3 linked regions of the Oryzias latipes genome follow. The protein of the gene in region 1 purifies or fractionates together with the protein of each later gene. This does not show direct contact. Links are inferred from orthologs where the notes say so. Each region holds a gene or a part of one and is shown in the gene's direction. Other genes may lie near its edges. The genes, in order: ift81, ift74 and ift88.

Region 1 (3,655 bases):
TTACATGTCTGCAAAAATCTTGTGTTTTTCCTAAAAATCTATCAAATTAAGCACATGATGAAGAATCTAAAAGACGTCAAAAGCTACAACACTTGACTTTTGTATGTTTAACTTCCTAAAATAGCAATACTTGTCATTGTTGTGTGTGCTCAGCTGTTTCAGGCAGAGCAGAGAGTGCTGAGGTCCCAGCAGCAGCTGAAGGATATGCGCCAATCGGCCACAGATGCAAATCCAGAGAGTGAGTGTCCCGGTCCTTTGAAGGACATGAAAATTCATGGAAACCACACACAGCAGTCTTTGCTTACATGCTTAACTTGTTGATATACTAATTATATTGATCTCTGATTTAGTGTAATGAAGCTTATGTGGGTTTGAAATATCCTGCTTAGGTTTTCTCTGGGTGTTGGGCTCCTAAGCCTAAATGAGATTTACAAATTAGAGATTTCTAAAATGATCTGTGCTGTCCAGATGAATGAAAAGCTGCACTATTAGAGGAGACTCACTGCTTTCTCTGTTGACATAACTTTCTAATATGTGAATAAAATGCTTATGCCATCATTTGAGTCAAGTACATATACGTTAGAAATATGTATTTTTGATCCTTTTCCCTTTGTAACGGCCTTCCTCTCTGGTGTTTTGCCACCATTGCAAAGTATTCTGCCCCCCTCTTGCCCCCTCCCATACAATGTTTTAGCCCCGTTCACATCAGTTTTATTTATCAAAAATATTTTGCATCTTCTTCCACTAAAGGTTTAACAGCCTTAATGAAGCCAAAAATCTGTTTGTGTTAAAAAAAATAAAGCAAATGCATCAAACCTGAAGCTTAACAAAAAACTGTCTTTGTCAGGCCTAACCAGAAGACTTGAAGAGGAGATCAAGATCAACACTTACATGGTCACTGAGAAACTTCCCAAAGAGCTGGAGAGTTTGAGGCGCACCGTGCAGTACCTGCAGAAAGTGGCATCAGAGCCTGCAATGGGCCAGGCCAACATCCGGGAGCTGGAGGACAGGGTAAAGAGTCGAACATGGCGGGATGCTGGGTTCCTTCATGCCGCCCACGGTTCTGATTGTTGACTTACGCTCCCACAGATCAAAGACGTGGACTCTCAGATTAACCTGCTGATTGAGAAGAAGATGTTGAGGAATGACCCCATAGATGACAAACTGACCCTTTACAGACAACAGGTGCTGACCCGGTTGCATGTTGTGATGGTCTTTCACCTCTTTATCAGTTTTGCATCAAATGAGCGGCAGCCTGTGAGTTATGACTCCCAGTGGCCACAGTCACACAGGATTAGAAATCCCGGTTTGGTTTGGCTTAGTTCAGGCATGTCCAAAGTCCGGCCCGTGGGCCAAATGGAGCTCATGTTCATATTTCTACCAGCCCGCAGGCTCTTGTCATAAAAAACAAAAATAATATGCAACTCCTAACACTTTCTAAGAATCGTGTGTACAATTTCTTGGTTGTGATTGGCTAAATTATGATATAAGCCGTCGTAAACCTGCGACAACAACCTGTGGGTGCTTGACCTTCTGAGCCATGAGGGCCAAATGAAAGGACCAGGTTGGCTTCTGTGATCAAAACCGCAATGGTTTGTACTTCTTGTACTTGTACTTACTTATGTGAAGAAATGGAAAGTATCCTGTTGCAAAAGACTTTTCATTAAATAGGTTATTTAAGTCATTTAATGTTATAATTGGGGTTCAAAGAATGCAGGCCGATTGTTGGCCCTCACACTTTTTCACTGCACCAAATTGGTCCTCTTTACAAAAAGACACCACTGTAATAGTTTATACAATTAACTATTTTTATCCATTTATTCTTCCTGCATTATTTTTTATTATTAAATATAAATATTCTTCTATATTAGTTTTTATCTGCAATCTTTGTTCTTGTAACAGGCAGGAAATTTCATACAAGAAACATAATTAAATTCATAATAATATCATTTTTCTAATTTATATAAAATGATAACTGAGGGGTTTTTTTGGGTTGAAAGTTTGTGCTCAGTTTTTAGTTTATTTTTTTCTGCTGCTGTGCACTTCTTTTCATGATGTCTCAAAAGAAAACTCAAACTAACTTCCTCTTTCATTGCTGCATATCTAATACAACATGAACGTTTCAGGCCTCCATTATCAGCCGAAAGAAGGAGTCAAAGGCAGAGGAGCTCCAGGAAGCGAGGGAGGCGCTGGCCACAGCAGAGAAGGAGATGAAACAGAGGCACAGCCAGTCGTCACCAGAGGAGGAGGTCATTCGAGGCGACGAGGTACAGAGTTGGTTTGCCGCTACCACAAAACAAAGCTGTTGGGTTTTTTCAGTCTTCCTTTAGGCTCTCGTCATCTGCAGCCTCGTACCAGTGCGCTCTAGAAGATAAGCGACCTACAGAATCCTCAAGAGGCTATTTCTGTTCTTATCCAAACACAGACACACTCACTGTATAATGTTTCTTACCCCTTTACCCCACTCTCCCCCACCTTCCCATGAAAGCCAGGAATAGAACACAAAAGAAAGAATATCCAGAGCAAGGAGCTGTTCTGAACAAACTTCCTGAAAGCAGTCTCTTTCTTTAATGTCTTTAATGTAATCCATCTTCCAATACAGGTCAGCTGGTCATGTTAGGTCACACACATGTCTTCGATTTGATTTAGTCAGGAGGATGCACTCTTCATATCTGCCACAGGCTCCTCTGCGGGAGTAAAGCCCTCATGTCACACAGAAATGTTGTAAGCCTTGCACATTTGTTGCACTTCCATTGCGTTTACAGCACCAAACAGTCATGTGTTAGTAGCGGTTCGTGGATTAGAAGTGGTGGAGCAGGTGTCTCAGCATCAGTCTGGTCCGAGCAGAACAAAAGAGCCCAAAATACAGACAAACAAAACTAAAAACGTGATGTTTGCAAAGAAATCCAAACTTAATATTACCGATTCTGGTGAGACATACACGAAGTGCAAGACAAATGAAAAGATCATTTCCAGTGTGTTTATGGTCCACAGGAAGAGAAGAGAAGAATCATTTGAGCCATTCACTCTGGGAGAAGCTTTAAAAATGTGACAGGAAGGAATTTAACGAGATGTTGTGGAAGATGTGGTTCTTATCTCAGGCAGAAGCAATACCACGCAAACTCAAATGGTTGATTGCCGTCCATGTTTCGCAGATCCCCTTGTGTATGACCGTTAACCTGAGGCTCTTAAAGTACAACAGGAAGTTGTTTGTAGGCGCAAAGAGGCTCTTGAGTCTTTACATGAATGAATATAGTGGAAAATGTTTTGTTGAACTGGGCTTATCAGTCTCTTGGGTAGTTTTGAGACATCAGCCGTGGTGGAGATGATCGCTTTATCTGAGGTATTTTCCATTGTGTGTCATCACATGCCAACCGACAGCTGCCTGATCTCTCTAGGGGTCGTGACCACGGCTGCTCGTCATTGGCTGACCAGCAGCAGGAAGCCGTTTGATCATCATCTGGTTAAATTTAGTTTAGACACCAATGGGGGATTTAAGTCGCTTTTTGAATTAGTTGGGGAGGGCTCTTAAATTGCCCCCATGTTTTTGACATGTGAGGGCATTCGCTGCCCCTCTTTGACTCTTTCAGATGTGTGAACGCCCTGTGTGACTGCACACCGAGCTGCAGTCACGTTTCACAGCAGCTGCTTTGCA
Region 2 (4,176 bases), on another chromosome or scaffold:
TTAGTGATGTGATTATTAAACATGAAATAAATTGGACCTTAAACTCACTTTTATGACTCTTTCCTGTGTTATATAAAATAGTCAGAAATATTAAATGATTTTTGTATTTTTGTATTTGTGCTTTTTATAAAGTGTTATTTTGCCATTTGAGCATGTCTATGGTTAAATTTATAAAATATCTATTTGTTTTGCACAAAACTCTTTTTTGTTGTTGATTGATTTGAAAATCAGTTCTAAAGATCATGTGTATCAGAATAGGCTGACAGGTTAAGTTTGTATTTAATTAAACTACTCCTAAAGCTACAGAAATTGATCGTTGTAGAAAAGCAACATGTTTGACATAACAAAAAAATGACCAACTACTGACATAGGCATGATAATCTCAGAAGATTTAAAAAACAAAAGATGAAGCACCGATGAATTTCAAAGTAATGGCACTGTGTCAAAGAAATATAATATTTTTCTAAGCCAGAGTGCTGCAATCTGAGGCTTCGCAGCCTCGTGCAGTTCTTTTATCCCTCCATTATTGCTCTTTGGCTTTAAAGAAAAATGCAGCAATTTGAAAAAATAATGGGTTAGTGGTTTTTGTTGATATGGTTTAGTTAATTAAGTTTGTCATTTGTTTAGATCTTTAACATGTCAGATAACTGAGGGGGGGGGGGGGAGATGGCTTATTAGTAAAATAAGCAAAAGCTCATATTCATATATTCTTCCGATGCTGCTGGTTGGTGTTCAAAGCCTAAATCGTTACGGCATAGAATTGCATTTACATGCATAGATAATTAAAAAAAAAGATTCTAAGCTGATTTTTTCACGTTTATATTTGATAGTAATACAAGTAAAAAGATGAAGGAACTACGTAATCACACTGATAGAAATGTTCTGTTTGGCTTTCTTGTTTTAATTGTTTTAATTCAATACAATTTTTAAATTCAAGTAAATCTGCTGCAACAGGAGAACCTTATTTGACACGGGGTATTTTATTTTGAAAGGAATGTGGATATGCAGCTCTCAAAAGTAAATTCATTTTCAATTGTTATTTTTTGAAACACGTAACACTTTCATAATTCAATTGTTATAAATGTTTAAAAGTTATGTTTAATAAATGAATAGTTAAGTGTCCATATAAATATAAACAATATTTTTCTGAGAGAAGAAGCACCAGGAAAATGGTTCTGATAATTGCACAGCCTGTATTGGCAGGCAGAGGGCAGCAGTCCCGTCTCAAAATGCACAAAAACTAGTAGAAGAAGATGGTTACTGGGGTAACGACGACGTTATCCTCGGCCTCTCGTTGCTAATGTTTTTATTGTGGGTTTATTTTTCTCTTTTTGATTAATCTTCTGCATAAGAAGAGCGGGACATTTAGAAGAGACACTAAAAAGGTACGAAAGATGACATGTAGCAGTAAGCTAACGAAAGAGCAGTTAGCTAAAAAAATTGTTTGGTAATCTAAACACAACTCTATTAGAGTTGTTCAGTCTTTGTAATATTATACGGAATGACGTTTGCTTAGAATTACGTTAAAAGTCAGACCTTTGTTTCTCCTAAGCATCGATAAAACGAGGTTCTAGGTGCAGAGAACTTTGTAGTGTCGAATTGGGTCGCGTCACGCCAGGCGGAAGGTGCTCTTAAAAAGTCACACGTCTGTCTGTTTCAGTCTCATAATGACGAGCCAGCGGCCTCCATCCAGCATGGGGAGGCCCCCCAGCCGCAGTGGATCAGCGGCCCCTGGTGCTGGAAGACCCCCAACGGCTGTTCGACCCCCTCCTACAGCTATTCGGGTCCCCACTGCAGTAAGGCATTCATGCAGCTCACATCCCATAATACACCCTGTTAAAAATACTTAACTTTCATTATGCTTTTCAACCTTTGACACACTCAGATGGTTCCTGGTACAAGCGGTTACCCTGGCATGAGGGGGGGCATCCCCTCCCCAGGGGTTCTGGCTGCACCCATCAAAGTGACAGACAGACCAGTCACCCAGCAGGGGCTCAGCGGGATGAAAACTGGCATCAAAGGTATTCCTGATGGTGGGAATCCCTGCATGTTAAGCAAATCTGTTCTTTCCAGCAGTGTGCAACGGAGGAAATAAGTATTTGATCCCCTAGTAACTATTAAGAATTCAGGTACACATGGACCAATTAGACCCTCCTAACCAACCTTAATTAAAGACACTTTATTTGAACTGATCGCATGTAGAATAGATACTTTTCCACAGAATCAGTCCATCAGTCAGACTCCAAAATCTCCAACATGGGAAAGACTAAAGAGCCTTTAGTGGATTTAAGGAAGATTGTAGGCCTGCACACGGATTGGACTACAAAACCATCAGCAAGAAGCTGGATGTTAAGGGACTCTTGCTGCCAAAATACAAGAATGTGACCATCAATCCACCTTTTAGGTCTGAGACTCCAAACCAGATCTGAGCTGGTGGGATTTTCATGATCATTAGAGCAGTGAGAAATCGGCCTAAAATGACACGGCAGGAGTTAGTTGATTATCTCAAAGCAGCTGGAACCACAGTTACCAAGAATATCATTATATATATAGTATACTTGATGGTTTAACATCTTGCAGAGCTTGAAAAGTCCTGTTTAAGAAGACACGTGTGCAGACCCACCTGAAGTTTGTCAATGAACACCTTCATGAATTAGAGCAGGGGTGTCAAACTCATTTTCACCGAGGGCCACATCAGCAAAGTGGTTGTCCTCAAAGGGCCAGATATAACTTATACATGTAACTAAATGTAATGAAAACAAATGTAGCTACTACTTAATGTTAAATAACTCATTATTTATTTACTATAACTTTTTAAAGAAACAATTACAGTTGTATAGAAAACATATGTTTGCTTGTAACTCTAGCATAAATCCATTCAAATTTGATTCTGTCAGGCTAGGTTATATAGTGTTTAAGTCCCAATATATAGTAGCCCAATCCGATATTTCAAGTCAGATTCCCCTAGATATGAATAAATACACACTAATTTTTATTTTTTTATTTTACGAAATGAAAAACTTTTATGCTCTCGCGGGCCATATAAAATGACATGGAGGGCCCCCGGGCCTTGAGTTTGACACCTGTGATTTAGAGAGAAACTTGGAGAAAGGGTGCGGTGGTCGGATGAGACCAACATGGAGCCCTTTGGTATCAACTCAACCTGTCATGTTTGGAGCAGGAGCAGGTGCACCAGTTCTAAGTCAGCTGCTAGGTGCCAGTAGGTCTAAAATTGGTGGTGGATGGATCTTCAAACATGATCATGATCCAAAACAAACAGCCAAAACAACCAAGGAATGACTGAAGAAGAAGAAAAAGAAAAGTGGAATATAATTCCTTCTGATATGTGTAGAAACCTGATCAACAACTACAAGAAACCTCTGACCTCTGTGCTGCTTATAAGAGTTTTGACGAGTTTTTGAAGTATTAAGTGTTTCTGGCAAGAGGGTTTAAATACTTATTTCCCAGACTGTCCATTTTATTTAAGTGGGAAAATCTACAAAATCAGCAAGCTTATTAATACAAATAAAACAAGTACAAATACTTATTTCCTCCCCTGTTTGTTTACATCCAACAGAGGACAGTTTGTCTTCACCTATTCTGTTTTCCTCACTGCAGGACCTCAGAGACAGGTTCTGGACAAATCCTACTACCTGGGCCTCCTCAGGTGAGGAACACCGATTATCTTTAGGGACATTTTTGTTGCACTAAAATATATTTAATACCTGAATGTGTTATTCAGTGCTATGAGGATTTCCAACAATACGAAAGCTGTTTTAAAAGCAGATTGATCAATAAACGATCATGTATAAAATGTAGAACATGTGAAAAAAGTGGTTAATTCTGTTGTTTTTACTGTTAGGAGTAAGATCAACGAGCTGACCACTGAGACCAGCAAGCTCCACAAAGAAATTGATAACTACAACCAGGAGAACTCTGTGTACCTATGCTATGAGAAGAGGTGGGTGGTGGTTCCACTAGTTTGCACTGACATTGTAAGTTGGTTTTTGTTTCCCCAATGCGAATTTCCTTCATAGATAAACTGGTTGGATATGTGTTTGAAACAGAGCTGAAGATCTGGCTGCGGAGATTAAGGACCTGCAGGGCCAGCTTGCTGACCACAACATGGTAAACTGCATCTACATGTCCTCAGATGGTTTTATTTCTCAGGAAAAT
Region 3 (3,070 bases), on another chromosome or scaffold:
TAGTGGGTCTAGATGACCCAACTCCCAATGTCAAAGTGCCTATGATAGCACAGAGGTTAAGGCTTTTGAATGAACTGTCCTGAGAAACCGTGTAAACAATCATGATACCAGTCAGATCCAGACAAACTAAAGGCTGATGGTTATTCCAGTTAAAGTTCATCCACAGCTACCGGTAGATGTTGTTAGCACATATTAACCTAATCCTAATCCTCTTTCCGGGTCAGTTCAGCCAAAAAAAAAGGCACCGGCCGGCACAGATAAAAAAAAACTATGAAGTCATAATTAGTCGCAGGCCACAGGGGCCTGCGACTAATTATGACGTCACATTTTTTGATTGGCTGTACGTTGGTCCGATAACGTGTAAGATAGTGATTGCTCTGGATAAATTAAGGTACGACCATAGAAGAAGATATCGCCAGTTCCGTTGTAAACAAAGTTCCGACATATAGCGAGATGATCTTCTAAACGGGACTTTATAGATGGATGGATGGATAGATAGATAGATAGATAGATAGATAGATAGATAGATGAGGTTAATACATACTAACAACATTTAGCCGTGGATGAACTTAAACTGGAATAACCATCATCCTTTATTTTGTCTGGACCTGACTGGTAACACAAATTCACATGATTGTTTGCACAGTTTCTCAGGACTGTTCATTCAAAAGCCGCCTCCGCCCGTCCCAAAGCCGCTCATCTTTTTGGAGATACAAATCTCCCGGGAGACCGTTGTCCTGAGTTACAACACCGTAGTAAAGCACCCTAACCTGCCTGCAAACACGAAGCTACCAGTCTGGCTGTTCTGCTCAGAGACACGCACATGCAATATGTGCGTGCGCATGATTGCGCAACAGTACGAGCACAATCGATTAATCCGTGTGCATGGTTTATCAGATTTTTTTTTTAACCACTGGCACCTGGAGGGTTCCATACTTTTCAAACAGCATATATTCGTCTGTTCCTGTTTTACAATAATATGAATAAAGAAATACTCATAAATGCAACTTTCATCTTAATTTTCTTTTTATATGTCCTCTATCATCAGAAAAGGCCACAAAGCACCATTTTAAAAACACCATTTTCAATAAAGTAGGTCTTTAAACTAATGTTATGGGATGTTTTTTTGAACAAACATCTACATGCCATTGTTCTGGTTTGAGAATGGTTCAATGTCCTGAAAAACATCCTCAGAAATGATTAATTTCTTCTCTATCATCAGTTTTCAAACGGTTGGCACTTCCACGAATTAACATGGAAGCCGTCACTACCAAATCGGAGTCCCTGATTGGTCACAGTTCAAACTAGTTTAACCTTAAACGCCCGTTCAATGGGTGCGCCCTTCGAACATAGAGCCCAAAAACGGTCGTAGTAACTCTCATAGCGACGCATGAGTGCGAGAGTTTTGAACGGGGAAGCCCAAATAGTGCAGATACACACGTTTACATAGACTCTTGAATGGAAGTGGTCTCTTGAACATGTGTTGCCGAGGGTGAAAAGATGTAGCTTTAGAGAGTAGCTCCTTATGTCCAAACAAAAAAATAAAAACGTTACCATTAAAGCTGTTTTTTGTTTCTACATGCGTGTAGATGCATACTATGTGGACCCGCTGGGGCCTCTTATGGAGAGACCAAAAACAGGAGCAAAGAGAGTCGTGGAAGAAGACTTCGCTGATGAAGATATTGGAGACGACCTTCTGCCAGAGTAGATGGATCTGCTCTGTTCTGTAATGAACTTTTCCAGATTGTTTAAGGCTCTTCAGGCCAGTTTATATGTTCAGAAATTCACACATTCAAGTGTTTTTAGACCAGATGTGTGCGAAGCAGCATTCTTATACTTAAGTTGTGGATTAATTCAAAATAAAATAAAGGTTTTTCTCTATTTATATGGGTTGAATAATGTGACAGACTGGCGACCTGTCCAGGGTGCCCCCTGCCTTTGCCCACAAGTGGCCGGGATAGGCTCCGGTGGGATAGGCTCCGGCAGCCCCGTGACCCCGAAAGGGAATAAACAGAAGAAGAAGATGAATGTTATCATTGTTCTAGTTTTTTATAACTGTATCAACTCGACTGGTAAATCACTTGTAGAGGGGGAGCAAGTGCTGACCTACCAACTGACTGACTGAGTAGGAAAGTCATCTGTACTCCATACACCGCAAGACCCCAGAATATCTTTAAGAATGTATTATTAGTAGTTTCTGAGATTCACACAGTCTCTTACTCGCAAGAAAATCGCTGAGTACACACACAATAAGTGTACAACATGACCGTCAGTTCCCTCACTCTTTGTACAGGATTTCACATTTCCCAGGAGTCTTAGTGGATCTAAGGTAGCCCAGGTCACTAAATTTGTATTATCTTTTATAAATGATTATTTACATGTATAACTGTTCAAATAAAACATTGTTATTTTCCCCTAAGCATGATCAGTGTGATCCTTTGGGCTTCTTTTCTTTAAATCAAATATTCAACATAGATTTGAAAAACTTGTTAAATGAAATTTTGGAACTGGATTATGATTATTGGTTTTCGATTATTTGGGTTTTGGTTTAAAAGTTTCTGTTGTTTTTTTTTTTTTTTTTTTTTTTTTTGGGGGGGGGGGGGGGTATTTTTGTTTGTTTGATACTGTGGTCCTGTAAAAAATCGTCGTTTCCTCAGAACTCCAGAGGTTTTCCAGGGCGGGTTCCAGTAATCTGGCGTCCAGCAGCGGAGGCGCGCGACCAACTGTCTGGACTTCCCACTCGCGTCAGGAGCTGCTCTCAGTCACGCAGGGGAAAACTTTCCTCTTTTTGTCTCCGTGGCTCTAAGCCTCAGAACGGGACTTGATCTGTCAGTGCTTTGGTTTGATTTAGATTTCTGGCGCCACGCAGTTGCATCCAAACGTCTCCCAAAGGATTTTACGCACAGATTTCCGGAGAGGGGAAATGAAATGGAATGGGTTTTTCTGTCATAGTTCCTGGGTTAATCCTATACCAGTATTTGAAAGGTTTCCTTCTGTAAGGCATCTGCTGTTTGTGGCGTCATGGCGGGTCTTTGATGAGAGCATGATTGTAAAAACCCTCTGCTGGAGC

The links.
Region 2: the proteins of ift81 (region 1) and ift74 purify together in Homo sapiens (affinity purification with mass spectrometry; 3 studies listed by BioGRID and IntAct, counting the BioPlex papers as one, with this or other methods). This does not show direct contact. The link is inferred for Oryzias latipes from reciprocal best matches to the Homo sapiens genes IFT81 and IFT74.
Region 3: the proteins of ift81 (region 1) and ift88 fractionate together in Homo sapiens (co-fractionation; 3 studies listed by BioGRID and IntAct, with this or other methods). This does not show direct contact. The link is inferred for Oryzias latipes from reciprocal best matches to the Homo sapiens genes IFT81 and IFT88.

The regions. Positions count from the first base shown.
Region 1 is NC_019867.2:25,423,842-25,427,496, forward strand, and holds part of ift81 (intraflagellar transport protein 81 homolog), read left to right. Parts: intron 1-153; coding exon 154-238; intron 239-847; coding exon 848-1,011; intron 1,012-1,089; coding exon 1,090-1,185; intron 1,186-2,126; coding exon 2,127-2,267; intron 2,268-3,655. UniProt on the Homo sapiens protein: Component of the intraflagellar transport (IFT) complex B: together with IFT74, forms a tubulin-binding module that specifically mediates transport of tubulin within the cilium. Binds tubulin via its CH (calponin-homology)-like region.
Region 2 is NC_019878.2:5,897,481-5,901,656, forward strand, and holds the start of ift74 (intraflagellar transport protein 74 homolog), read left to right. Parts: upstream 1-1,228; 5' UTR 1,229-1,385; intron 1,386-1,658; exon of another isoform or gene 1,659-1,660; 5' UTR 1,661-1,667; coding exon 1,668-1,796; intron 1,797-1,885; coding exon 1,886-2,021; intron 2,022-3,618; coding exon 3,619-3,667; intron 3,668-3,862; coding exon 3,863-3,961; intron 3,962-4,067; coding exon 4,068-4,128; intron 4,129-4,176. UniProt on the Homo sapiens protein: Component of the intraflagellar transport (IFT) complex B: together with IFT81, forms a tubulin-binding module that specifically mediates transport of tubulin within the cilium. Binds beta-tubulin via its basic region. Required for ciliogenesis.
Region 3 is NC_019879.2:11,372,572-11,375,641, reverse strand, and holds the end of ift88 (intraflagellar transport protein 88 homolog), read left to right. Parts: intron 1-1,589; coding exon 1,590-1,708; coding exon of another isoform or gene 1,709-1,730; 3' UTR 1,731-2,419; downstream 2,420-3,070. UniProt on the Homo sapiens protein: Positively regulates primary cilium biogenesis. Also involved in autophagy since it is required for trafficking of ATG16L and the expansion of the autophagic compartment.